3 linked regions of the Lepisosteus oculatus genome follow. The protein of the gene in region 1 interacts with the protein of each later gene in a pairwise test. Links are inferred from orthologs where the notes say so. Each region holds a gene or a part of one and is shown on either strand. Other genes may lie near its edges.

Region 1 (8,118 bases):
CTTGAGAAAACAAAAAGAACGTGTAAATACAGCACAAGTCCAATTAAAAACAGGTTTTAGCTTTTGTAGGAATACATGTTAAGGGTCATGTGATTCACAAAACTCTAAAGTTCTAGGTAGTTAGGAACAAGTGGAATTAATATTTTATTGCTTGTCTGCAAAGAAGATGATTCTGTGTAACAAAATACACCTCAATATATAACACACCCCTGTATACCCACAAGTGGGAGAGAACATGGAGTTTGTAGGCATAAGAATTGACACGACACAAGTGGAATATTTCAGACAGACAAACCAAAATAACTGTTACTAAGACACCTGCAATAGTTGCAAACCAGAGCATGGCTTTAAAACTCTTAACTTTCATGACTCCAGCTCCTATTATTCCTATTATTATAACAGAACTATCAATAGAGTTGTGGGCCCACATAGCTGTTTCCATAATGTTTAACAATCCCCCAAAAATGTATGTAATGTAAAAATCCCCCCAAAAATGTTACTTATCATCAAAGTCATCAGTTTTTTTTTCTGGTGGAGTATATTAAGAGTTTTGCATCATTCAGCTGCAAGTCATTCTTGACCTTAAAGTCAATCCTGTTCCTTTGTTTCCCTTTAGGCTATCGCAGCTACTTTTTCAGTCCTGTCCAGTCACCAGAACAACCAAATAAGGTGCTGCCACAGAATCCTGAAGTTGTAGATGAACAACAGTACTATCACAAACTTTATAATGAACAAATTGCATTCCCAGTCACATTAGCATAATAATGTTTCAAATTCATATCTTATCTTAGGCCCTGCAAATTGCTCTTACCATGCCATCAAGATAGGAATTTTGGTCCTCAGCTTCTTTATCTATTTCAAAGGCCAGCTGTTAAATAAAAGCATAGAAACACTTATTAAGGAGTGCGCAACAGCAGTATCTCAGAGTCCTGTAGTAAATCTTTTGTTTCTGTATGATACGACTGGTAAACTGCATTCTTAGTTCTGATAGTAAAAATGTTGTGAAACAAAGTGAAGCCCAGGTTTGTACAAACACATGAGCAGTGTATTGGAATTCAATACTATTAGAGAATAGTAGGCTTGTCTCTGTATCGGTCTTCTGTAACGGGCCGTTTACAATCTACTTTTGCAAATTAAAACAATGAGATCATAAATCTATTACCAAGTTACTGATAAATGTTTTGGAAAATAAAAAAACGCTTTAAAATCATTTTAAAAACACACATATGCCACAAGGTGTAGTAAGAGGTTTAAATACATACTGATTTTAGTCTGGAGACTTTAGTGGCCAGATTGTCTGCCAAGAGCTTATTCTCAACATCCAGCATCTCATCCACAGCACCAGAGCCATGTCCTTACCACGAGGAAAAACAGCAAGAGAGAAGAGCATCACAAAGTAAGTGAGCACCCGTTTCAAAGCCTGTCTCAAGGCAGCACGAACACAGTTCACAGTGATAATATAAGCATGTTTGAAGACGATCAGACACACTAGAAACAAATTATATAACGCGGAAAAGGAAAACCATTTGAATTAATTATGACCAAGTGTGGGTGCCAGACGAAGCCTTAAAGAAAGCAGAGCTCTGCCCACCCTTGATTACTCCGGTTGATGCCACAATTTAATGATCAGAAACCTGTTTGATACAAACTACTCTGTGTGATCAGCGTTCCTTGAGTAATTTTAAGTAGATTAAACGAAGTAAAAAACCGTCTGAATAATGTTTAGGACGCTTACAGCATGCACATCATCAGCTTAAATGCTGTCTTTATTTTTATGACTCTACTTCGATTCAGCGATGTCTCGTTTGTAACAACTATTATACTCGTTACATTGATCAATTATTAGCTTGATGAAGCATCATAATTATATTTATTTCACTTGTTCTAGTCCAATTTACAACACCTAGTATCCACAACTTTATATACGTTTAACACACTTGTCAAGAGAAACTTTCAGACTATACAACCACACAAAAACACTATTAAACCAATAAAATATTATTTAGAATTGACTACGTGTCCACTTCCTACCTCTATTCCAGTCAGCCATCTTTGTTGACTTCCTTCTTCTGGGAAGAGGGTTAAAGGTAAAGTAACGGATACGTCACATCCTGTTACATTAATAGGGTAATGTTTGAAAGTAAAAATGTTATTAATGTCTCGTCCATATATAATGCTGATTTTATTAGAGTTGCCCTTTGGAATAAATAGATTGGAACATACATTGGCCTTGTCTTTCAATAAAAAAATAAGTGCACTATAAAATAATCCTAAAATATACGCAACTAATCCGATTGTTTCGTTTCTAAATTAAAAAAAATACATCATATTTGTTATTTTCGCCAATCAGGAAGAAAGAAATATCTTTTTGCAAATTACTGTGACAACAAAACAGAGTAAAATTATAAAATCAATTATAATTTAAATTCATTTTGAAATTAAGCAGAACTGCCTAATTTACAATAATTTTGATATATTTGTAACTATTAATAGTTAGAACAAACGCCAGAAGACACATCATCCTGCAGCTCACAGCTCACAGCTGGCAGCCCACTAAAGCTCAGCAGGGTTAATCCTGGTCAGTACTGGGATGGGAGACCTCCTGGGAAGCTATGGCTGCTGCTGGAAGTGGTGTTAGTGGGACCAGTGGGGGGTGCCCACCCTGTGGTCTGTGTGGGTCCTAATACTGTAGTGGGTGCTGTCCTTCGGATGAGACATTAAACCAAGGTCCTGACTCTCAGCGCTCATTAAAGATCCCTGGGCATTTCTCGATAAGAGTAGGGAGTTATTTTAAAAAGATATAATAACCAAATATAATAAAAGTTTTTTTTCAGTGTTACAACAGCATAAGAACAGATACAGATTTAAATATCAGAAGCTTTTAGGAAATGAAACAGAAAGGAGTGATATATTTCTTATTTTAGAGGGGTGGTCATCAGGATAGAAATCAACAACATTCCTCAGGCTGAGCAAAGGCCAAGATCTGTATTGAATACAATTAGCATAGAAGAGGTGGTGGAGTCGCAGGGATTAGAAGCCCCTAAAATTAACAGATAGGCCAGCCAGGGCCTAATGACATCCTACTAATTGGTTTTAAGGAAAGGAAAGATGTAACTATTAACCCTGTAGTGCCAGATTAATTATGTCATCCCTTAGTATCATCCCTTGAGTATACATCCCTTATTTATATCTCTTTTTTATCCTTATGACCAATTTTCATTTCAAGGCTAGAATCTGAGACTCAATCTTTTATGAGGACCATTATTAAAAACCTTTCTGAAAATCTAAATATATCATGTCATATGTCACATCCATAGCTGCTGTTATTTGTTCAAACTGTTCTAACAAGTCAAGCAAGACAGGCTTAACTAACTGCATGGTGACACCCTGGTTAGCATCGTTGTCTTGGACTGCTGGAGCGCTGTGCTCAGTTTTGGACCTGTGAATTAAATACAGATCATTTATGATACATACTTACTGTAGGTGTGTACATCATTTATATGTGGGGAAGGCAGAGAGTGAGTTAGAAATTATGATTAAATGTCTAGAATGTAAATAAAGTGATGTTTGGGCAAAACAGTAAAACACTTTAGTTTTTGTTTTTGTAGAATATTGTGAACATTTTTTTTTTTATCAGCACGTTATAAGAACATCATTACTGCTCTTGAATCATTCCAGAGAATGGTGTCCAGATAAATTCCCATACATCTGTGAGTGTCATATACTGATAGGCAAAATATTTTTAGTCTTGAGCAGGGAATACTACAAGGGGAATGCAAAATCCTTAAAGGCAATCCAATTGACTTCATCAGATTCAACATTGAAACATGAACCAGAGAACATAAATTAAATTTAAATAAGCAGAATCCTACACATTGTATAAACCCACAAGTTTAATGCTACCAGTAAAGGATCACACTTTCCGCATATACTTTCCATTTTCTACACTGTATTGACCAAAAAGAAGGAAAGAAGGACACATAACAACTGAGAAAATATACAGACCTCTGGGTTAGTCCAATTGTTAATTTTGTTAAGGAGAGGAGTAAAATATGACCTGTTAAGTATCATATGTTTAGTACCACGTACTGATTGGAAAATCAGTTTTTTTTAAATAAAAAAAGTATTTTAAAAAGTCTCTACAAGTCCTTTGATTCAACACTTAACTATCATACACATAGAAAATCTTTAGGAATTTTTCCCACCTGAGAATTGATATTGAAATATTTTTGTACAAGTCGTAAGAAGGTTAAGTGACTGGCAACTTTGTCTTTAGTATAGTTTTAGCTTAGTATCGTGATTAGTTTCACTCTTTGTTTTGTTGCAATAGAAGTGTTATTCCTTATTCCAAGGGGGATAATTAAATGAGTCGTGTTGTTGAATTCAAATGTAAAAGCTCATCAAATGTTTGTTAATAAGGCTTGTGAATCGCAGGCTCACTTTTCCAAGCACTTTTCTTTTATATAAGACGATTTGTGGACGGTATGTTCACCAGTTAATTGTAAGAATAACACCAGGGAGAAAGAGAAGAGATACACAAGAAAAAGAGCAAAAAAGAGTGCGGTTTTGCAAACCCTAAATGTACCCTTTTTTTAAAACAATGTGAATATGTCTATCTTAACACCTCGCGTTGTATCAATACATCCCCAGCATATTGTAGCAGTATTACACCTAGAGACTTGCACCTGATCGTGTAGAAACAAAAACGTAAAACTACATTTCCCAGAAATCCTTACGCACGCTTACAATCCTGCGTTAATCTTGTTCCAGGACTTTCGAGTTTCAGGGATAAGAGCTGGTAGAGTAAGGTAACGCAGTGAGACACATCAGAATATTACCCAAAGCAAGGCGTGTATGTGGTTGTCAGTTTGACTTGAACAACAATAACTGCGTCTGTAATACAGCAATGAAAATGGAATTCAATGCCATCATAGAAACGATGCAAACAGGAGACCAAGATGCCGCATTGAAGGCACTGCAGGCTTACAATAAGGAGGTATAATTTAGTATTTTTCATTTTTATACGTATTTGGTTAACATCTTGTATATTTATATATACGATTCGTATCCGTTAACCGTGTTTCCATGTGTGGGCTTCGAAATGCAGGGTATACAGTATCTGTGATTTGTTAGTGTGTTTAGCCGACTACCTTCTATTTTTACAGAAATGCATGTTTTCTGTCATTACCATCCTGACATGATGTGAACATCCTAAGTGTAACATATTTAATAGCTTCGATGTGATCTGGATTAGGGAGCCCTGGTTGTCAGCTTGAATGCATTTAATTTTATTGAATCAAACTGCCATTCACAATGGTACAGTTTGCATTTTTAAATTTTAAATGAAAATAATTAGCCATAACAACAGTGTCGCCCTAAAACGCAGGCGTATATTCTTGGTAGTAACTTTTACATTTATTTCTCAGCATTATTTAACGATGATAATTTTACATAATGGTACATCCACTCGCTGGAATACAGTTTGCCCAGGCTATTTTGTCATTGATACCAATGCTTTTGGATAGTGCAATGCAGGCAGAAATGTAACATTATTTTTTATATCAATAATCACCATCACAGCCTTGAAGAACAAAACGTATATGTAATACTTAAAATTATCTAGATCTTTGTTGGTTTTGAGATACAGGAAGACTGGGGCAATGGTCTTGGGCTGAGAGTGCAAGATACAGCTCTGTGTTAATAGTAGGTGTGTAAAGCACCTTCACCATAGTTGCCATTCTGATAGTGTAGCAAACTATTGATTTATTCTGTGCAGCTGTTATTTCAAGTGTAGTAGTAAATATCTTAATTGAAGTCATTATTATTTTAATATGTAGCTCTGGAACCCAAGCTTCACTCCAAGTTCCTTCTAGCAAGCTGAATAATACATCAGCAGGCAACTTTTTACTATTATTTTTACTTAATGTTTTTTGTGAACTGTTTTTACTTATCAGAGTAGGTACTCCATACAATTGCTTTGATGCAAGTACTGTATATAACGGTCTCTGAAGTTGTGAAATCTGGTGTGGAAATGAAGATACTTTGTGTGTATTTTTTGTTTCTCTACATTTTACATGGTATGACTTACAGATCATTTAATGCAACTAGTTATCACTGTTATAATGAGGGTGTAAGAGCCTCTTATACTTTTAGTGCCTAAATCTGATAAACGTTTTAAAGAATATTAACAGCCTTAGAGTACATCAATACCATCAGATACTTTTAATCAGCAAGGAGCTTGAAATCCATAGTTAAGATTGGGGTTGGGCTTTGTCCTTGTCTTTTTCCATCTCTTGTCAAAGCATTTAAAATGCCCAATGTCGGCATTTGTTTATGAATGTATCTACTGAAAAAGGTTCGACCATTCAACTTTGAAAATGATCAAACACAGCGTGAAAACAGGTCAACTATCAATATGATAAAATCTGATTTTGTTTTTTTCCCCACCTTGTAATCTGTATTTTTGTACATGCAAAAATAGTGCATGCTTATATCTATATTAGCATATGTGATATTCCTTTAAACCCCTGATATCACTAATGGTTCTTTCTTTTCATGTACTTTTCATTTAAATCACACTTAAAGATACTTCTGCAACAGAACATTGAGGTAATTCCTCAATACGCTGCCTTTCTTTGACGTGAATGTCAAGGAACTCCTTTCATCCTGCCCAGGAAGTCTCTGGTCTGTTCTGCGGTGCGTGTTGTGAAAATTGGATTAGATCATTGAGCCATGTGCAGCTCAGCTCATCTGAACTGTCCTGTTATAGACCAGTAAGTCACCTGGTGCCTCACAGAAGTCACGTTGACTACATACCCCTGAACAGTATCTCTGTTGCTCTTCTTCTGGAAGGAACGCTCAGCAGAATGTGATGCTGCTGTACTGTAGCTTTTTGCCCCTAGCACATCTCAAACAGCAACAGACAGAACAAGCTGTTCTTTCAGACTAACACCAGCAGTATCCTAAAGCCATATCCTAATTGGGTTAGAAATGTCATTTCCTGTTGCATGTTGATATACCCTAATTAGCTGTACATAGTGTGGGACTACATACAGTAAAAGAGCAAGCATTTACTTTTGTTGACATTATGTGAAAAGTTGTTAAGTTTACATGAACGGAAGACAAAAACTCATCCCCAGAATACTTCCGGCTTCCACTCAACTTTCCTGTTCTACACGATGGGTGTCATGTAGGTTATCTTCCTTGAAAGGTTAGAATAAGGCCTTCCAGGAGGTAAAACTGAGATACCCCCAGACCAAAAGAAAGAATAACATTTTTAAGCGAGTCTCCACGATACAAAACTGAAAAAAAAGTTTTTGGTTTTAGACAATTTGAAGAAGAACAATGCAAAGATAGAAAGTTGTGGATTGTAACAGGCCATATGTAGAAAGTGATACCCCCATTTAAACATGATCCCAAATGTAGTCATGATCCCTAACTAATCATTATAACAAAGTAAGAGTTGCAAAAATAATGATTATTTTTCTTTCCTGAGACAAAGCATTAATTTGTAAAACATTCTGCATAATTAACAAAAAAACCTTTTTGTCAGTTATGAGTGATTGCTCCTAATAATGCATGAAGGCAAAAAACAAACAAGCTGTTTTTTTTCCCAGCAGGACATATTTCTCCCATTAGTGGTGTTTGTACACAAAGTTGTTAATCAATATCTATCTTTATTCATGGCACCTTTATGTATGTGCCAACAAAAGTGGTTATTTTTTTCTTCTTGGTGTCTCTCATAAATGATGACATTACCTGGATATAAAATGAGTTGCCAAGAATTGATTATATATATTTTTTGTGTCTCTGTTTTAGAAAAGCCAGTGTTTCACATTTGAAGCAGATGAGTGCGAAGAAAGACAGGTATGGTTACTATCTCTTGTTATTCAGTGCAATTATTTAACAGGCTCAGAGAAGTAATAGATTAGCATGCTCTGTCATCACTTTTCAGACTCTTGAAAAGTATGAAGGCAGTGTCTCTGACCTCTGCTTCTTTGTCTTTTTGTCAACTAACCACATTGGTACTGTATAGAGAAATGCTGCTGAACAACAACAAAACCAATCATTTTAATTGTTTACCAGATGAATTAAATAATAAAAATCAAAACACAAGAC
Region 2 (7,942 bases), on another chromosome or scaffold:
ATCGTTGACTAAATTAAAGTGACTTAACTGGCCCACACCCCCCAGGTGCCGACGGTCACCTGACCCCGCCCTGGAAACCCCGAACCCGAGCCGTGGCGCGGGCTGGCGGAGTGTCTGAGGACGCACGAGGGGAGGAGGGGGGCTGACGGGCAGGCGGGCGGACACGCGCGGGGCTCTTACCGCAGGTCACACGCTCGCGCTGCTGCCCCGGCCGCGGGCCCCCCTGGGCTGGACCGGGCCTCTCCGGGGCGGCGCCGCCCCCCCTGCGTCTCCGACCCCGGCCGCGCTTCTGAGGGCTGGGGCTCGGCCTGGACGACTCGACGCCTGGGGAGAGAGAGAGAGACGGGCGGGTCAGGCTCTGGAGACCCATCTGCTCACACCCCCCCACAGACCACAGGACAGGACCCCCACTCGGTGCGCCCCACTCACCCGCACTCCACTGGGCCCCGGCGCAGACCGGAGGAAGGTCTGTCTGTCCACCACAGTCCTTCTCTGGCCGCTGGGAGGAGCTCACTGACGCTTCACCCCCGTACCCCAATACCGGGACTGCGCTGACACGCTCCGGGGACACTGAGAGAGAGAGAGAGAGAGAGAGAGAGAGAGAGAGAGAGAGAGAGAGAGGGTTAATACAGACACACTGACTGGACACTCCAGTACATTAACACTGCACTGAGAGAGAGAGGGGTTAATACAGACACACTGACTGGACACTCCAGTACATTAACACTGCACTGAGATAGAGAGGGGTTAATACAGACACACTGACTGGACACTCCAGTACATTAACACTGCACTGAGAGAGAGGGGTTCATACAGACACACTGACTGGACACTCCAGTACATTAACACTGCACTGAGAGAGAGAGGGGTTAATACAGACACACTGACTGGACACTCCAGTACATTAACACTGCACTGAGAGAGAGAGGGGCTAATACAGACACACTGACTGGACACTCCAGTACATTAACACTGCACTGAGAGAGAGAGGGGTTAATACAGACACACTGACTGGACACTCCAGTACATTAACACTGCACAGAGAGAGAGGGGTTAATACAGACACACTGACTGGACACTCCAGTACATTAACACTGCACTGAGAGAGAGAGGGGTTCATACAGACACACTGACTGGACACTCCAGTACATGAACACTGCACTGAGAGAGAGAGGGGTTAATACAGACACACTGACTGGACACTCCAGTACATGAACACTGCACTGAGAGAGAGAGGGGTTAATACAGACACACTGACTGGACACTCCAGTACATGAACACTGCACTGAGAGAGAGAGGGGTTAATACAGACACACTGACTGGACACTCCAGTACATTAACACTGCACTGAGAGAGAGAGGGGTTCATACAGACACACTGACTGGACACTCCAGTACATTAACACTGCACTGAGAGAGAGAGGGGTTAATACAGACACACTGACTGGGGGGTTGGGGTGCACACACAGAAAGGGGGTACAGGCCTCACCCGTCCTCCTCTTCTTGCGGCTGACGAAGGGCAGCAGGTCGTGGCGGGTCAGGACGCGCAGCAGCTCCAGCAGGGGCCCCAGGCGGGACTCGCTGCAGTAGCCGCGCCGCTCCAGCTCCAGCAGCAGCTCCACGCCGCACTTGGGGCGGTGGCGGGCGGCGAGCGGCGCGGGCGAGCCGCGGGGCCGCAGGCGGCGCCAGGCCTCCAGCAGGCGGGGGCCGGCCCGGGGCTCGGGCTCGTCGGCGGCCGGGTCCGGGGTCCAGCCGGCCGGGTGCAGCGGGTGGGCGGCGGGGCAGGTCTCGTCCAGCAGGAAGGACAGCACGTCCACGTCCGTGTCCGTGAGCTGCGAGCCCACCACCTCGAAGAGCTCGTGCAGGGACTGCATGCCGTAGTAGGTCAGGCACTCCGTCTCGTCCCACCACAGCGGCCGGCGGGCCGGGGCCGGGCCCGGGACTGGGACTGGGACTGGGGGCATGGCCGAACCGGCGGGCCTGGGTGTGGGTGCGAGTGTGGTCGGAGGTGTGGGCGTGGGCGTCCACGCAGGGCGGGCCGGCCGCGCTGTTGACAAACAACCCGGGTCACGTGCAGGCGTTATGTAAGCCCACGTGCGCCCCTCCTCTCCGGCTGGCCCCTGCGGTGACGTCACGAGCTCGCGGAAGAGGTGCGGGTGGGTTGGAGGTGTGTGTGTGTGTGTTTCCGCGACACAGAGGCGAGTCTACCCCAGCTGTCCCGTCGTGTCTCGCCTCCCCCACCCGTGACAAGCGGTCTCCAGATCCGTCTCCCCTCTGCTGCGCCCGTCCCGGGGCTCCGGCCAGCGGCGGCTGTCCGCAGAGTGACCGCTCCGGCCGGACCTGTGTCACAAGCGCTCTGCTGCGGTGCGGGTCGGAACCGGGCCGGGATCCGGGCGGCTGGCTGTGCGCTGGCAAGTTCAAAGCTCGTCTAGTGTCCGGGCTGCACAAACCCTGTCCGCTCTCTCTCGCGACTCGTCCGCTTCTAGCAGCTTCCAGAAGCAGCTGCGCGCATGCGCGACCGCCCCTCGCCGAGCGGCCGCCATCACCGAGGCACCGGCCAATGGGAGAGGAGGGTCTGCCGCACGTGATCTGCCGACGCCGAGAGTCGCCATGTTGGGAGAGGAAGCCTGCCCCCGGGCGCCCAGGAGACGGAGGAGGACAGGTCTTCCTGACAGGCTCGCTCACAGGTGGATAGGGGCGAGACTCGCGATGGCCGGCGAAGGAAGTTGGAAGCAGGAAGTCCGGATAGCCTTTTCCTGATTTCTGCCCGGCGTGTAGCTCGAGCTGTTCGTACCTGGAAAGGCCGTTAGAGCTGTGAGCTGGTACAGGCTGGTTACCATCGAGCCCGGACCCTGTGCTTCTCAGTGGTGACACGTGTCTGAGCGCACAAAACACAATATTCAAAATCAATCCTTTTGTTCGATTAAGGATTTGATAAGTTGCGTTACTTGCGTTGCTATCTCTGAACTGGCTCCATCACTCTGCTCTCCTCCCCACTGAGAGCTGGTGTGTGGGGAGCGGACTGGCGCATCATCCAGGTGGGGCTGCACACTGGTGGTGGTGGAGGGGATCCCCATGACCTGTAAAGCGCTTTGACTTGAGTGTCCACAAAAGCACTATATAAGTGTAAGGAATTATTTTTATTACTTAAGAGCGCTGCTGGCATGAAGCGGATCCGGGGCTCTGTTTGGCTGCCGGAGGCGCTATCCCGAGCCTGGCCGCTAGGGTGCAGAAGAGGGGCCTGCTGCTCGGTCGCCTAGCAACCAAAAAGTTGACGCCCTCACTGAGCTGCCAAACCGAGTTACCGTAATAACTGATGTAGCACAGACGCGCAACTTGGGTTCCTCCACAGTTTCCTCCACAGTCTACGGTTTGCGTTTACATAGCGCTGGTGTTCTCCGAGTGTGTGGGAGACGCACAGCGGTCATTCTGCACCAGTGGCCCCAAATTGTCGTTTCACGACGGTAAGATCTCATCCCGAGGGCAGTGCCTTGTAAAGGACGGTGTCCCTGTTCACCATACTGGGCCAGTGGGCTGGAAATTCTGGTCCAGAGGGAAGATAGTGGTGAGGTGCTCCACCAGCACCCCCTGACCAAAGCAGCCTCTATGGTCCCACACTGTCCAGATACCCCTACTGGGGCTGACCTGTCTCTCACAGTCTTCCTGAGCGAAATGCACCAGCGCTCGCACCCTGAGCTATAGATGTGTAGGCACCCCATTTGCCAACGGGGGTTTGACAGAGCCGGCCTGCGCGCCGTGCTGCAGACACGGAGGCGCCGAGAGCTAATTCCGGCTACCCGTCTATCAGGCGATTTACGGTAAATAGCCAGCTCGTTGGCCGCCCTACGGGGACACGTCACATCCGGAACTGAGCCGGAACACAAAGAGAGCATCGCCGAGGGTGAGTGTCTCGGAGTTCCTGAGACATATATAATTATTTCAAACCTTTTAATACTGTTTGGGATCAGACTGGGGATTGAGCAGCGGTGTCGAATTGCGGCTGTTGGTTCGGTGCGCGGGGCTAATGGGAAGAAGTGTCTCCAGTTCTTCCTGCTGGAAAACCTGGCTCACTCGAAAATGGGAAAAACCTTCCAATTGGAAAAAAATATTCACGGTCCTCCATTGGTATTAACGCCGTCCTGGTGAGAACAGACCACGTCGTTTACGTGTTAATAATAATAATAATTATTATTATCTCACTCACTTTCTAAACTCATCTTTACTGTTTGTTTTGTTTGGAACAGTGACGTAGAGAGGGATGTAGTGACGTCGTTGTTCTGGTAGGTTGGGTGATGACGTTATAGGCTGGCACGCAACGCGCCGAAGCTCACTCACGCACTCCCACGCGTGGAATGTGTGGCCCTGCGGGGTGCAGGGGGCAGTTTGATTCGTCCTCGTACGTCAGTTGAGTTCCAGGGGGATGAAGCTGGTTTTTTGTCCTTCTGTCCTGGCGCTGTCCGGGAAGCAGCAGAGCCGACAGCGGGACAGCGATGGCAGGAAAGACGGGGGATGTGTTCAGCGGGGAACCGGGAGAGCCGGCCGGAGGAGGACTGGCCGGGAAGTAAGTTCCCTTCATGGAAACGCTGTTGTTTTCTTAATCCCAGTGAATCACTAATCCAGCTCCCAGTCCAGTCAGTCCAGTCCAGCCTGGAGAGTCTCTACACTGTGTGGGCCAGTGCAGTGTCAGTGGGGTCAATGACAGGGTCAGGGTTAGTAGGGACAGTTCAGTGTGGTCAGTGTCAGGGTTGGTAAGGTCAGTAAAAGGTCAGTGTTAGGGTCAGTACAGTCAGTGACATGCTCAGGGTCAAAGACAGGCTCAGGGTCAGTGTTACGGTCAGTGTGGTCAGTGACAGGCTCAGTGTCAGTGGGGTCAGTGTTAGGCTCAGTGTGGTCAGTGGTGTCAGAGTCAGTGACAGGCTCAGTGTCAGTGGGGTCAGTGTGGTCAGTGACAGGCTCAGTGTCAGTGGGCTCAGTGGTGTCAGGGTCAGTGACAGGCTCAGTGGTGTCAGTGTGGTCAGTGACAGGCTCAGTGTCAGTGTGGTCAGTGACAGGCTCAGTGTCAGTGGGGTCAGTGTCAGTGGGGTCAGTGACAGGCTCAGGGTCAGTGTGGTCAGTGGGGTCAGGGTCAGTGACAGGCTCAGGGTCAGTGGTGTCAGGGTCAGTGACAGGCTCAGTGTCAGTGGGGTCAGTGTCAGTGGGGTCACTGACAGGCTCAGGGTCAGTGTGGTCAGTGGTGTCAGGGTCAGTGACAGGCTCAGTGTCAGTGGGGTCAGTGACAGGCTCAGTGTCAGTGTAGTCAGTGGGGTCAGGGTCAGTGACAGGCTCAGTGTCAGTGGGCTCAGTGGTGTCAGGGTCAGTGACAGGCTCAGGGTCAGTGACAGGCTCAGTGTCAGTGTGGTCAGTGACAGGCTCAGTGTCAGTGTGGGCAGTGTCAGTGGGGTCAGTGTGTGCTCCAGCAGGCGGTCACTCTCTCTGTGTCGCAGGCTCTGGCTGCCGCGGGGGCTGTCCGGGGGCGTGGCGCGGGAGTGGCTGGAGCGGCGCCGCGCCGCCATGCGCCCGTGGGCGGGGTTTGTGGACCAGCGGCGGTTCTCCAAGCCGCGCAACTTCGGGGATCTGTGCCAGAGAGTCGTCCGCAACCTGGACACCTACCAGAGCAACTACACCTTCATCTTCCTCGGCCTCATCCTGTACTGCATGTGAGTCCAGCAGCGGGGTCACGGGTCGTGGGTCACTGCTGGGGGGGGGGGAGGTCATGGGTCACAGGTCACTGCCGGGTGGGGTCACAGGTCGCAGGTCACAGCCCTGGGGGGGGTCATGGGTTGCAAGTCACTGCTGGAGGGGGGTCATGGGTCACAGGTCACTGCCGGGGGGGTCACAGGTCGCAGGTCACAGCCCTGGGGGTGGGGGGGGTAATGGGTCGCAGGTCACTGTTGGAGGGGGGTCATGGGTCGCAGGTCACTGTTGGAGGGGGGTCATGGGTCGCAGGTCACTGCCGGGGAGGGTCACGGGTGGCAGGTCACTGCCGGGGGGTCATGGGTCACAGGTCACTGCCGGGGGTTGCAGGTGGTTACCAAGGCGTTGCAGATCAAGGGTCACAGGTCACAAGTTGATGCTGAGGGATCGTAAGTCACAGGTTTCAGGCGTTCACTGACCCTGCATGGACAGAAGTTGAGGATTTTGAACACTCGCTCTGTCGCAGTGAAATGAAGCAGCTCTGTCTCCTGTCTCTCTCAGCATCAGCTCCCCGTTGCTGTTACTGGCCCTGGCTGTGTTCGTTGGCGCGTTTTATGTCATCCACCTCAAGAGCCTGGAGAAGAAACTGGTGCTGTTTGGTGAGTCCGTCTGTCTACACCTGTGCAGTGCAGTGTTCATGTACTGGAGTGTCCAGTCAGTGTGTCTGTATTAACCCCTCTCTCTCTCTCAGTGCAGTGTTCATGTACTGGAGTGTCCAGTCAGTGTGTCTGTATTAACCCCTCTCTCTCTCAGTGCAGTGTTAATGTACTGGAGTGTCCAGTCAGTGTGTCTGTATGAACCCCTCTCTCTCTCAGTGCAGTGTTAATGTACTGGAGTGTCCAGTCAGTGTGTCTGTATGAACCCCTCTCTCTCTCAGTGCAGTGTTCATGAACTGGAGTGTCCAGTCAGTGTGTCTGTATTAACCCCTCTCTCTCAGTGCAGTGTTAATGTACTGGAGTGTCCAGTCAGTGTGTCTGTATTAACCCCTCTCTCTCAGTGCAGTGTTCATGAACTGGAGTGTCCAGTCAGTGTGTCTGTATTAACCCCTCTCTCTCAGTGCAGTGTTAATGTACTGGAGTGTCCAGTCAGTGTGTCTGTATTAACCCCTCTCTCAGTGCAGTGTTAATGTACAGTGTGTCTGGATGAACTCTCTCTCTGTCTAGGGAGGGAGGTCACTGGGGGACACCAGCTGGCCCTGGCAGGAGCTGTGTCCTTCCCTGTGTTCTGGTTGGCTGGAGCAGGAGCAGCTGTGTTCTGGGTGCTGGGTGAGTTCCTGTCTGACTCCTCCCTCTGCTCTGCTCCTCCCCTTCCTGTGCCGCTGTACTGAGGCGTGTCCCTGCTCCTGTCACTCAGGTGCAACGCTGGCTGTGATTGGGTCTCACGCAGCCTTCCGTGAGCTGGAGAACGGGGACCTGGAGGAGCTCACCATGGAACCCGTCTGACCCCTGACCTCCTGCTCCTCTTCACCCTGTTTCCCTAGTTACTCTTGCCTCTTTGTCACACAAATACTCAGTCATTGTGACGACGCATTTCCCTGTCTGTCTGTATTTATTATCAAGGCACTGACTGACAGTACTGACAAGCTGATACCGACAGACTGACACACCGACAGACTGACACTCTGATGTAGTGACACGCTGACACAGCGACACACCCACACACACGGACACGGTGACACACTGACAAACCCACACACACTGACACACTGACTCCTTTTCCCAGAGCAGTGCTGGCAATCTGAAACCTTCCTTTGGCCAGTCTGATCTATTCCTGTGCTGTCAGTCAGACTCCCAGTGCACAGCAGTCTGATCCGCTCCAGGTGTGACAGGGCTGTCAGTCAGACTCCCAGTGCACTGCAGTCTGATCCTTTTGCACAGAAGGGACTCCCAAGTGGAGTAGATCAGTCTGCTGTGCACTGGGAGTCAGGTCTGGAGTGGGTTGGTCAGCTTTACTTTAGATGTCTGAATAGCTGTCTGGTCCAGGGAAGACCAGACTACAGAGCTCTGCGAGTCTTGAGTATGCACAATATAAAACCAGGCATGGATCAGCCTGCTGTGCACTGGGAGTCTGACTGAGAGCCCTGTCTCCTCTCCAGTATATCAGTTAATATTAATCGTTGGTGCAATATTGTCTAGGCTACTTGTCTTGCCCTGCTTTGCATGAACTGTGTTACTGAAGGACTTCTGTGTTTGTGTTTAAGCAGCATCTTT
Region 3 (8,130 bases), on another chromosome or scaffold:
TGAAACAATTAATCTTAATGTTTGTACAAGACGCTCCATTTCTTTATGAACATATAAACATTATGGTTAGCCTGCATTAGCTGAAATCATTTAAGATTTAAAGTAATCAAAGAATGTCTTTTTCCCAGACATTTAAAACATCCAAGATTGTATAATTTTCCAGAATTTTATCATTGACTTTTTCTCTTTTAGATTTTAATAACATTTGTGATTAATGGTTAAAACATACCACAGAAGTAATCCTGTGATTATTGTTTTATATTTTTGTTTTATATGTTTGTATAACTGGCTTATTGTAGTGCAAACTTTGTTGATTTCCAGAAGTTTGCACCTTGACTAGATTTGACAAGGTGAGTAGGGGAGGCTGTACTTGTGTGCAAACTGTCTAGGAATACGTAGGACACTTGGTTGACCATAAAGCTATAAAGTAATGGTCCCCAAGCCTAGTCCTAGAGGACTCCTATGTCTTCATGTTCTCACTGTAGCTGAGTTCTTAATCACAGGCAAACTGATTTCAGTTTTCACAATTTTACATTTGCTTACAGTCCTGAATAAGATGAAAGGGATTTGTTGTTGGTATCGACCATGTACTAATTTCTCATTTTATGGACTGCACAATTCAAGTGTTAAGTGTTAATATAATTAATCACCTACTAAGAGCTGCTTAGTCAGAAATGAGCAATTTGAAGAGAGTCTGCTTAAAGTTCTGTAAGTTAAAATTGCTTGAAACAATGCCCCTGAAACAAGATCATTTTAAAAAAGTGCAGAAACAAACAACGTCTAAACAAGCAAGCAGATCAATTAATGGATTTGCACTGGAAATTAAAAGCTCAACTGAAAAGAAAACTGGCAGACAAAGTGGTCCTGAGGACCACTAAATAAAGAATAATGCTCTTATTTCCAATGTAAGGAATCAAAGCAAGCTTTTGGTGTATTTACAAAGAGTATCCTGTCACCCCAATGTCATTATAACTTATAAAACATATATTTTAAAGAAGACCTTTACAAAATAGTGCAATAGAATGAGGTGGAATTTCACCACCTCCTACTGTATGTATAATTACGTTACACCATACACATAATCAACATCTGCTAAATTACAATATGGTAATGAGTAAAGTAACACTTCATTGTGTCCATGTACACGACAGAACTGAATTGACCTTGTTTTTGTTTATTGTACAAAAATTAAAACAGGCCAGCAAATAGAAGAAAAACTAACATCTACATTAGAAGCATTCAAAAAGGGATAGAATTGTTTTGTTCTTCTCTTTCTCCTTCTTTAGATGGAGACCGATTTGGGAGACAAATGCAGGCATAAACAAAGGACAAAAGAGGTGAGAATAGGCACACAGCAGGGTGAGAAAGATTGTCCAAGTGAGGGAGAGGTGTGAAAAGCAGCAATCTGTACATGAATGGAGAGATTGTAAACAGAAATTAGTCAGTAGAAGAGGGAAGGTAAAATCCACATTTAAAGATAATCTTGGCTTTTAATGTCTTTCTGAAGTGGAGTCCTGCAATCCTTGTAAAAGAATGCAGACAAAAAGGTCAGTGAAATTATGACTGGGAGAGACAAAATGGAGACCTACTGGCTTAGAGAAATCTTTGATCCTCACTACTCACTACTATAATTCACTATTTCTTGAAATGGTCAGAGTGTCTCCTTCCTATTTCAGTGATGTAAATGCAACAGCATTTTCTGTGAAAAGATGTAATAAACAAGTTTACCAGATACACATGTGTTTGATTTTGAAACGCCCTGATGGGTCACATACTGTACATATGTGACACTGGATATGTATTAGCTGGTGATGCAATGACTTCTGACAGGAAGAGGTGCCTGGTGTGACTGGTCGCTGTGGGTGCTTAAGAGAACTGGAGACAAGAACGTTACATACTGTAGATAAGGTGGTTGGTAGTATGAAATGATACACATACTAGATGTGATTATTTTTTATTTTTGTTTTTTACAACAGTAAAACATTTTTTAAATACATTCAAATTGCAGTCCCCACAATAGTTGTGAGTTTCAGAGGGTATGTAGAAGCAGAAGTTGTAAAACCTTCTGATGGAAAAAAAAAACAAGATTCCCCAGGCAGATTACATTTAGAGAACTACACACATAAAGGAGGAAATGTCTCAAGAGTACACTCCCTCTTATTATGAAGATAAGCATGCAATGATACACTTCAATAACCTAAACTATTTTAATGCAAAAAAATTCTTGATACTATTTGAAAAAATGAGACACATTAAAAACTACAAAAGGTATTCTTAAAATGTCATTCTGATGGGTTTTAAATTGAAGGGCTAATTTCATATGAAAGCAAGAAGAAAATAAACACTGTACAATCCACACTTTTAAATACTATATATAAAGTGCAGCTGAGATTTGTTATTAATGATATGTTTTAGTGGTCCAAAAAGTCTTCTACTCAACTACACACAGGTTTAGGAATCCACAAACATTTAAAACCTCAATCAGCCAGATAATAATAATACAGTACATTTTAAGGAAAGAAGATATTTGATTTTTTTTTCCACAGAAAACGCTGAAAGACAAATACTTTTCTGGTAAAAAGCTGATTTAAAACAAAAATGTTATTAGACATGTAAAGCATTAATCTTAGTATGGAATGAGTAATGGAATGTTATGGAAATACTGTGCTACAGTATTTAATATCACGAAACTAAAATTTCATCCAGGAGAGTGCTTAGCCATTTTAACTTCAAATATGAGAAAGCAAATTATTAGTGGTTTAATCAAATTCACCAGAGCAAAACCATGCACAGTGGCAGGAATTCACAAACCTTTTAGCTGCAGAGGGCTCCTTGGTAAATGAGCAGTGGTTGAGAAAATGATAATGATGGTAGGAAAGTGGGCAGGAAAGAGTGCATGCCTAAGCCTCGAATAAACAAATAGCATGGTTAACGTTTAGGTTATGGAAAAGTCCTGTTGCTCCCTGACAAGATTTCTCCCTTTATCACATTTGACAAAGATGAGCTCTTCCAGTAACACATAAACCATTTCCAGACAGCAAGGAGGAGTACTGTATGCTTACATTCTTTGGAGAAATCCCAGGCCTCAATTTCAGCCCGATCAGCCTTCTGAGGACCATACATGAGGCTCTTCAAGACATAATCACAAAAAACAAAATACTCCATTTTGGAAATGAGAAAGTTGTTTGCAAAACAGTTTACTGTGAAACCTCATTTTATCAAACCATCTCATTGTTTTACATTTTTCTTGCAGTTAGGGTGCCTGTGGACTTTGCAGGTTGTGTTCCAGGGGGCATCAGTGTGCACTTCCAATCTCTTCAGATTGCTTACAGCTATTATTTTCACTTCACTGAGATTTGATTCAGTGTATCTTGAGTATAGCCCCCCTTTCATAATTTCACAGGTAGCCAATACAATTTACATAAGACTGGAGTTCTGTGTCGATGCAGATTACAATTCTTAGTACGTGCTATATAGTACCTTAGAAGACAACCTAATCTGTAAGGCATTACTTAACTAAAATAAATACCTACCAATATTTATGTCAGATAGGCAGAACAATGCCAATGGCCCTCTCCATTGCTTCTGGTGACATTCGAGGCATTATGGAATGCACAGAAAAGTGTGGCCTTTTTCTTACAGTGACCTAAGCTTTGAATTAAGGCCTTTTTAAAGGTGACTTGATCAGGTATTGTTCCACCTGGACCTCATTGGGTAAAAGGGTACCTAATGAGCTTTTGTGTGATTGGCAAGTTGCAATACCTCACTGCACGAGCTGTATTGCTAGTCAGGGGGCTTAAAACAAACTGACAACTTTTTGTGAAAGTTCGTAAACTATAACTAGGATTCTCAATCCAGAAAATATTTTATTTTTTCTATCAGTATACTTCTAAATGTTGGCAAGTAAGGTGTATATGATATGAGATTAAAAAATAAAATTTAGATATAATTACCAGATAAGTATACTTTATGGTGAAACTAAATATGTAATTGTTTAAACATTTCATATAAATATTGAGATAATGCTGATGACAGTGACTGTGTTATGTGAGCTGCATATCTGTCACTTAAATTGTAAACAGTTGTGGTAATGCTAAATCTTAATAAGTAACGGGAAGACGATACAGAGATACAACGTCGCATCTAAAAATGGAGACGAAAGCCGTCTATGACGATCTGAAGAGGGTGCACCTTAATGTGACGTTTGTCAAACAAATGAGAATTATTTAACTGGCTTCTGGTTTCCTGAAATGGGATTCTGAACCAAGACAAAAAATAACGATTCCTTTGATATTACGACTACAAAAATGCAACGTGTAGTTGGGAAAGTATATATTCCCGTGTTGATTCGGAAAGTGAAGTGAGCTGTCGAATAGTCTTAACATTTGGGGGACTTTTATTTGCCCCAAACCACAAGTCAAAAACCAAAAATACACAAACTCAAATTTAACAACCTTAAGCGAATACAAACTGTCATCGGTAGTGACTTAACGACTCTTTGTAGGGTATCTTAAGACGCCATAAAACCAAACGTACCCTATACTTCCCAAAAGTTACAAAGCAGCACCGCGTCACATCACTGAGACGGACAGGGTGGAACCTGGTGGCATGAACACGGTACCTCCAGCTGGTTGCATGAAACTCAAAATGCAACAACAAAGGAAACGCTCAGACACTACGCGCTTCCTTGGCTTATTGTAATACCAAATGAAGCATGACATTCACCGAGGGCAGAGGAGCTAAAACATTACGCCGCTGAGACACAGCAGATGCGGCGCAAGAACCAGACCGAGGGGCTCCCTGAAATGGGCGCGTGCCTGCCTGCTAAGACGCGTGCGCGAGCCCCAGCGTTTGAACAGGAAGCAGCAGCAGGAGTCGGTCAGTCGAGTGACTGAGAGGAGGCAGTCGGCGCTGGCTTACGGTCCGGGGCTGTATTCTCCACCCTCAAGAGGGGAAAAAACACTGATACGAGTTCAGTTAGATTAACGACGGGGAGTTGTAGATCACGTCTACTTTTTTTGTTTTGTGAAAGTCGCTCGATTATTCGTGTCGAGTGAACCGTTTCTTTTTTTGGTTGCCTGGAGTAGGGCGTGTTTGTGTTTTTTGTTTCCCGTGGACCACCCCCTCTTCTCTCCTTTTCCCCCGATTCTTGCATGTTTGTGCTGGACAGATTTAATTTTCCAACTTTCGTACTGCTGCGAGACGTTTCGGTCTGAGGATGGGGTGCACCTTAAGCACTGAGGACAAGGCGGCGGCGGAGCGCAGTAAAATGATAGACCGGAATCTGCGGGATGACGGAGAGAAAGCGGCCAGGGAGGTCAAACTGCTCCTTCTCGGTAAGGAAAGGAGGGTGGCAAACTTTTCGAGCTAATCGTGTACAGTTTGCTTGTGTTGCTAAGCCAATCCCGAGTTTCAGCTGACGGATCAACGTAGCTGAATGAGAAATTTTAATGAATGTGTAGATATATGAATGGATACTTTTTTTTAATGTCTGGAATCTCATATCTTTTTTTTTATGAAATAGCCCTTTTCCCCCCACTAAGATGACTACATAAGCAATGTAGGAGCAACATGTATAATTATCCTGGGAAGGGTCATTTAACATGCAACATCTATCGGTTTTGATGGTTGTTTTCCAAATTGGCGAAACGACTTTTTTTTTTGTGTTCCTCCGTGCGGTAGTGGGGTTAGCTACTCGTGAGGCGTTGAGAAGAAACTCTGTGAATGCGACAAAAATGGCCACAAGAGGCTAATTCTTGCATTGATTTCTTTTGTGCTTCAGCCGTGCGGTTACCATTTTTGGGGAGGTCCAGGCGCCTTGTAGGAAGCTTGCGAGAGTGAAGGCAGGCCGAACTGTTTCAGAGGCCCACAAGCGCCTCTTGGCTTTATTTTTGCGAGAAAGGAGCTTTCAAAACCCACCTACCACCATTTCCTAGTGATGGGGCTTTGGTTGCGTGTGAAATTGCTTTCAGTAGGATTGAAACCTGTTGATTTGTGATATTGTTCCCCAGCTGATTCAAAATGGCACAAGTGAAACAGTTAAATTACCATTTAAATTGGGGAGATGTTTGATTTTTTTTTGTTTTACAGTAGTTTCCTGTCAGACGTCAGCTAAGCTTCCGTTATAGGCTCGGCGTTTGTATCTGTTCAGCTTTAAAATGTCTTTTGCAGTTGCGTCACACTGTTCTCTTAAAACTTTTTGGGTGGATGTGCGTATGCAGCACCTGATGTTGATTTTCACAGTCGCTGGCGAGGCACGAATTCAGCAGTTATTATATGGCTTAGAACAATCGTTGCCCACAAAATACATGTATTGTTTCCACTCACACGTCGTTAAATGGACTTGAGTAGTATGTTTATTGGTAAATTACTTGCATAGCCATTGCGTGCACACAGTACTGAGTGCATGCAGCGATCTAGCCTATATACCTACACGGCAGTTTCAAAGATGCTAGCTTGGAGATAAAATTAATTCTTTGAAGTGTAGCAGTGGAAGAAGTCAGTGGATATTTTAACAGGCTCTCGCAAGTGGCACCTTTCGGATTTATATAGATAGCGCGTTTGACTGTGTACATTTTCTTCACAGCCCAAGTAGAAACAAAGGAACTGTACCTGTGCTTCTTATTCTAGTTAACAGTAGACCTCTCTTTCCTGGCCTCTTGTCTGTTAAAATACAACTTTAGTTTGGGCAAATGAGTACGAATAAAAAAAAGTGTCCATTGGAGTTGTACCTCGGAGCAAACTACATAACATTAATTGACGCGTTGTATTGAGTATAAAATATATCAGAAAGATAATTTGTTCAAGTGCGCATCTATAATGTGAAGCAACAATTTGAAGCAAATCTAATACTCTTCACTTGCTTGTCTTTCTTTTAATATTCATTAATTGTTTTTGGTAAGAATGCAACAGGTGATTTGCTGGATTTTAGATTTTTTTCTTTCAGTATAATTCAGCAAAAGAGCTTGTTTTGAATGAGAATTCTTCTAGATGATTGCTAACAAATTAACTATTGATGTAGCCTTTTTCCTAAAGATCTTCTATATGTAATACAGGTATAGACCATTTTGAGCTTTTTTTTTGTAATTTTAAGAACACGTATCTTAGTTATGTGCCAGTCTTTAGTAGATTTTTGAGGAAAACATAATTTCTAATTATTAGACTACAAGAAAGTTGTGCAGAGAGAGATGGGCATCTCTTTTGGCTCAATGCTGAAGGCTTATTATTTTAATGAAAACTGACATATATTTTGAATTTGCAGTCACGTGTTGAATATTCTTAACCACCTGTTGGTAAAGACGTAAAATTCATAGTTTCCTTTCTCCTGTCACTTGATCTATTGTAGAAATCTGTTTGTGTCCTCTAGCCTTCTGGAAAGAGCCATATGTTAGAGCTCAGTGTAATGTTGCATGAGCTATTCACCTTGAAAGTCAGAAGGTGTGTGCCGTTGCTGCTCTGATGCATTTGCGTTTCCAGGTAACATAGATAGCTAGTTCAAATTACAGGCAACATTGGTAAAGACTCAGCTGCACTAAGCGAATGAAACAAAAGTAGACTGAGATCAGTCATTTGCATTAAAAATTAAGTGGGTGCTTTGCTGCTCTTAGCCTATCAGCATGTTGAAAATTATAAAGTCTGTGGTTAACTAGAATGAACAGGATTTAGAGATGCACTGTATCCTGACCTCATAAGTATCAGGGGATTTCTGTTTTTGTGGTTGAGGCATTGTCACAAATGCTACAGAAGATGTACCTTATTATGGTACTGTATTATTAATGTAGAGAGATGGATATTTGAACCTGTTTACGTAAAATGTAAAATCTTCATAAGGGTTCAGTTCTCTCACTTAGTATTCGGTATCGTGAGCCCACCATTAACACTTACAATGTAACAGTATGTCTTTCTGTGATGACATGTTGACAATTAGACTTTCCTGCACTGTCAAAGTGTCTGTAGGCCTTTCAGGATTAGGTGTCATGTAATTGGTTTGGACTCACTCTGTACAGCATTTGTTCAGATTATACAGCTTTGTTGTGAAGCTGTTATTTGTAGTTGATATTGGTTTTAAGGACTGCAGTATTTTAGATTTCAATGTTTTGAATTGGAGACATTGGACCACACTTGCAGCAC

What was found.
Region 2: the proteins of ric8a (region 1) and rabac1 interact in binary tests that used the Homo sapiens proteins (3 or more experiments, as listed by UniProt). The link is inferred for Lepisosteus oculatus from reciprocal best matches to the Homo sapiens genes RIC8A and RABAC1.
Region 3: the proteins of ric8a (region 1) and gnai1 interact in binary tests that used the Homo sapiens proteins (3 or more experiments, as listed by UniProt). The link is inferred for Lepisosteus oculatus from reciprocal best matches to the Homo sapiens genes RIC8A and GNAI1.

What each region holds. Positions count from the first base shown.
Region 1 is NC_090716.1:11,899,536-11,907,653, reverse strand, and holds the start of ric8a (synembryn-A), read left to right. Parts: upstream 1-4,744; 5' UTR 4,745-4,906; coding exon 4,907-4,996; intron 4,997-7,818; coding exon 7,819-7,866; intron 7,867-8,118. Other genes in the region: bet1l (BET1-like protein), read right to left, coding at 812-868, 1,263-1,354, 2,032-2,050.
Region 2 is NC_090722.1:9,966,820-9,974,761, forward strand, and holds rabac1 (prenylated Rab acceptor protein 1), read left to right. Parts: upstream 1-4,430; 5' UTR 4,431-4,489; coding exon 4,490-4,560; intron 4,561-5,482; coding exon 5,483-5,695; intron 5,696-6,233; coding exon 6,234-6,331; intron 6,332-6,895; coding exon 6,896-6,997; intron 6,998-7,085; coding exon 7,086-7,174; 3' UTR 7,175-7,261; downstream 7,262-7,942. Other genes in the region: dedd1 (death effector domain-containing 1), read right to left, coding at 181-324, 430-570, 1,489-1,963. UniProt on the Homo sapiens protein: General Rab protein regulator required for vesicle formation from the Golgi complex. May control vesicle docking and fusion by mediating the action of Rab GTPases to the SNARE complexes.
Region 3 is NC_090702.1:34,832,759-34,840,888, reverse strand, and holds the start of gnai1 (guanine nucleotide-binding protein G(i) subunit alpha-1), read left to right. Parts: upstream 1-4,618; 5' UTR 4,619-5,218; coding exon 5,219-5,336; intron 5,337-8,130. UniProt on the Homo sapiens protein: Guanine nucleotide-binding proteins (G proteins) function as transducers downstream of G protein-coupled receptors (GPCRs) in numerous signaling cascades.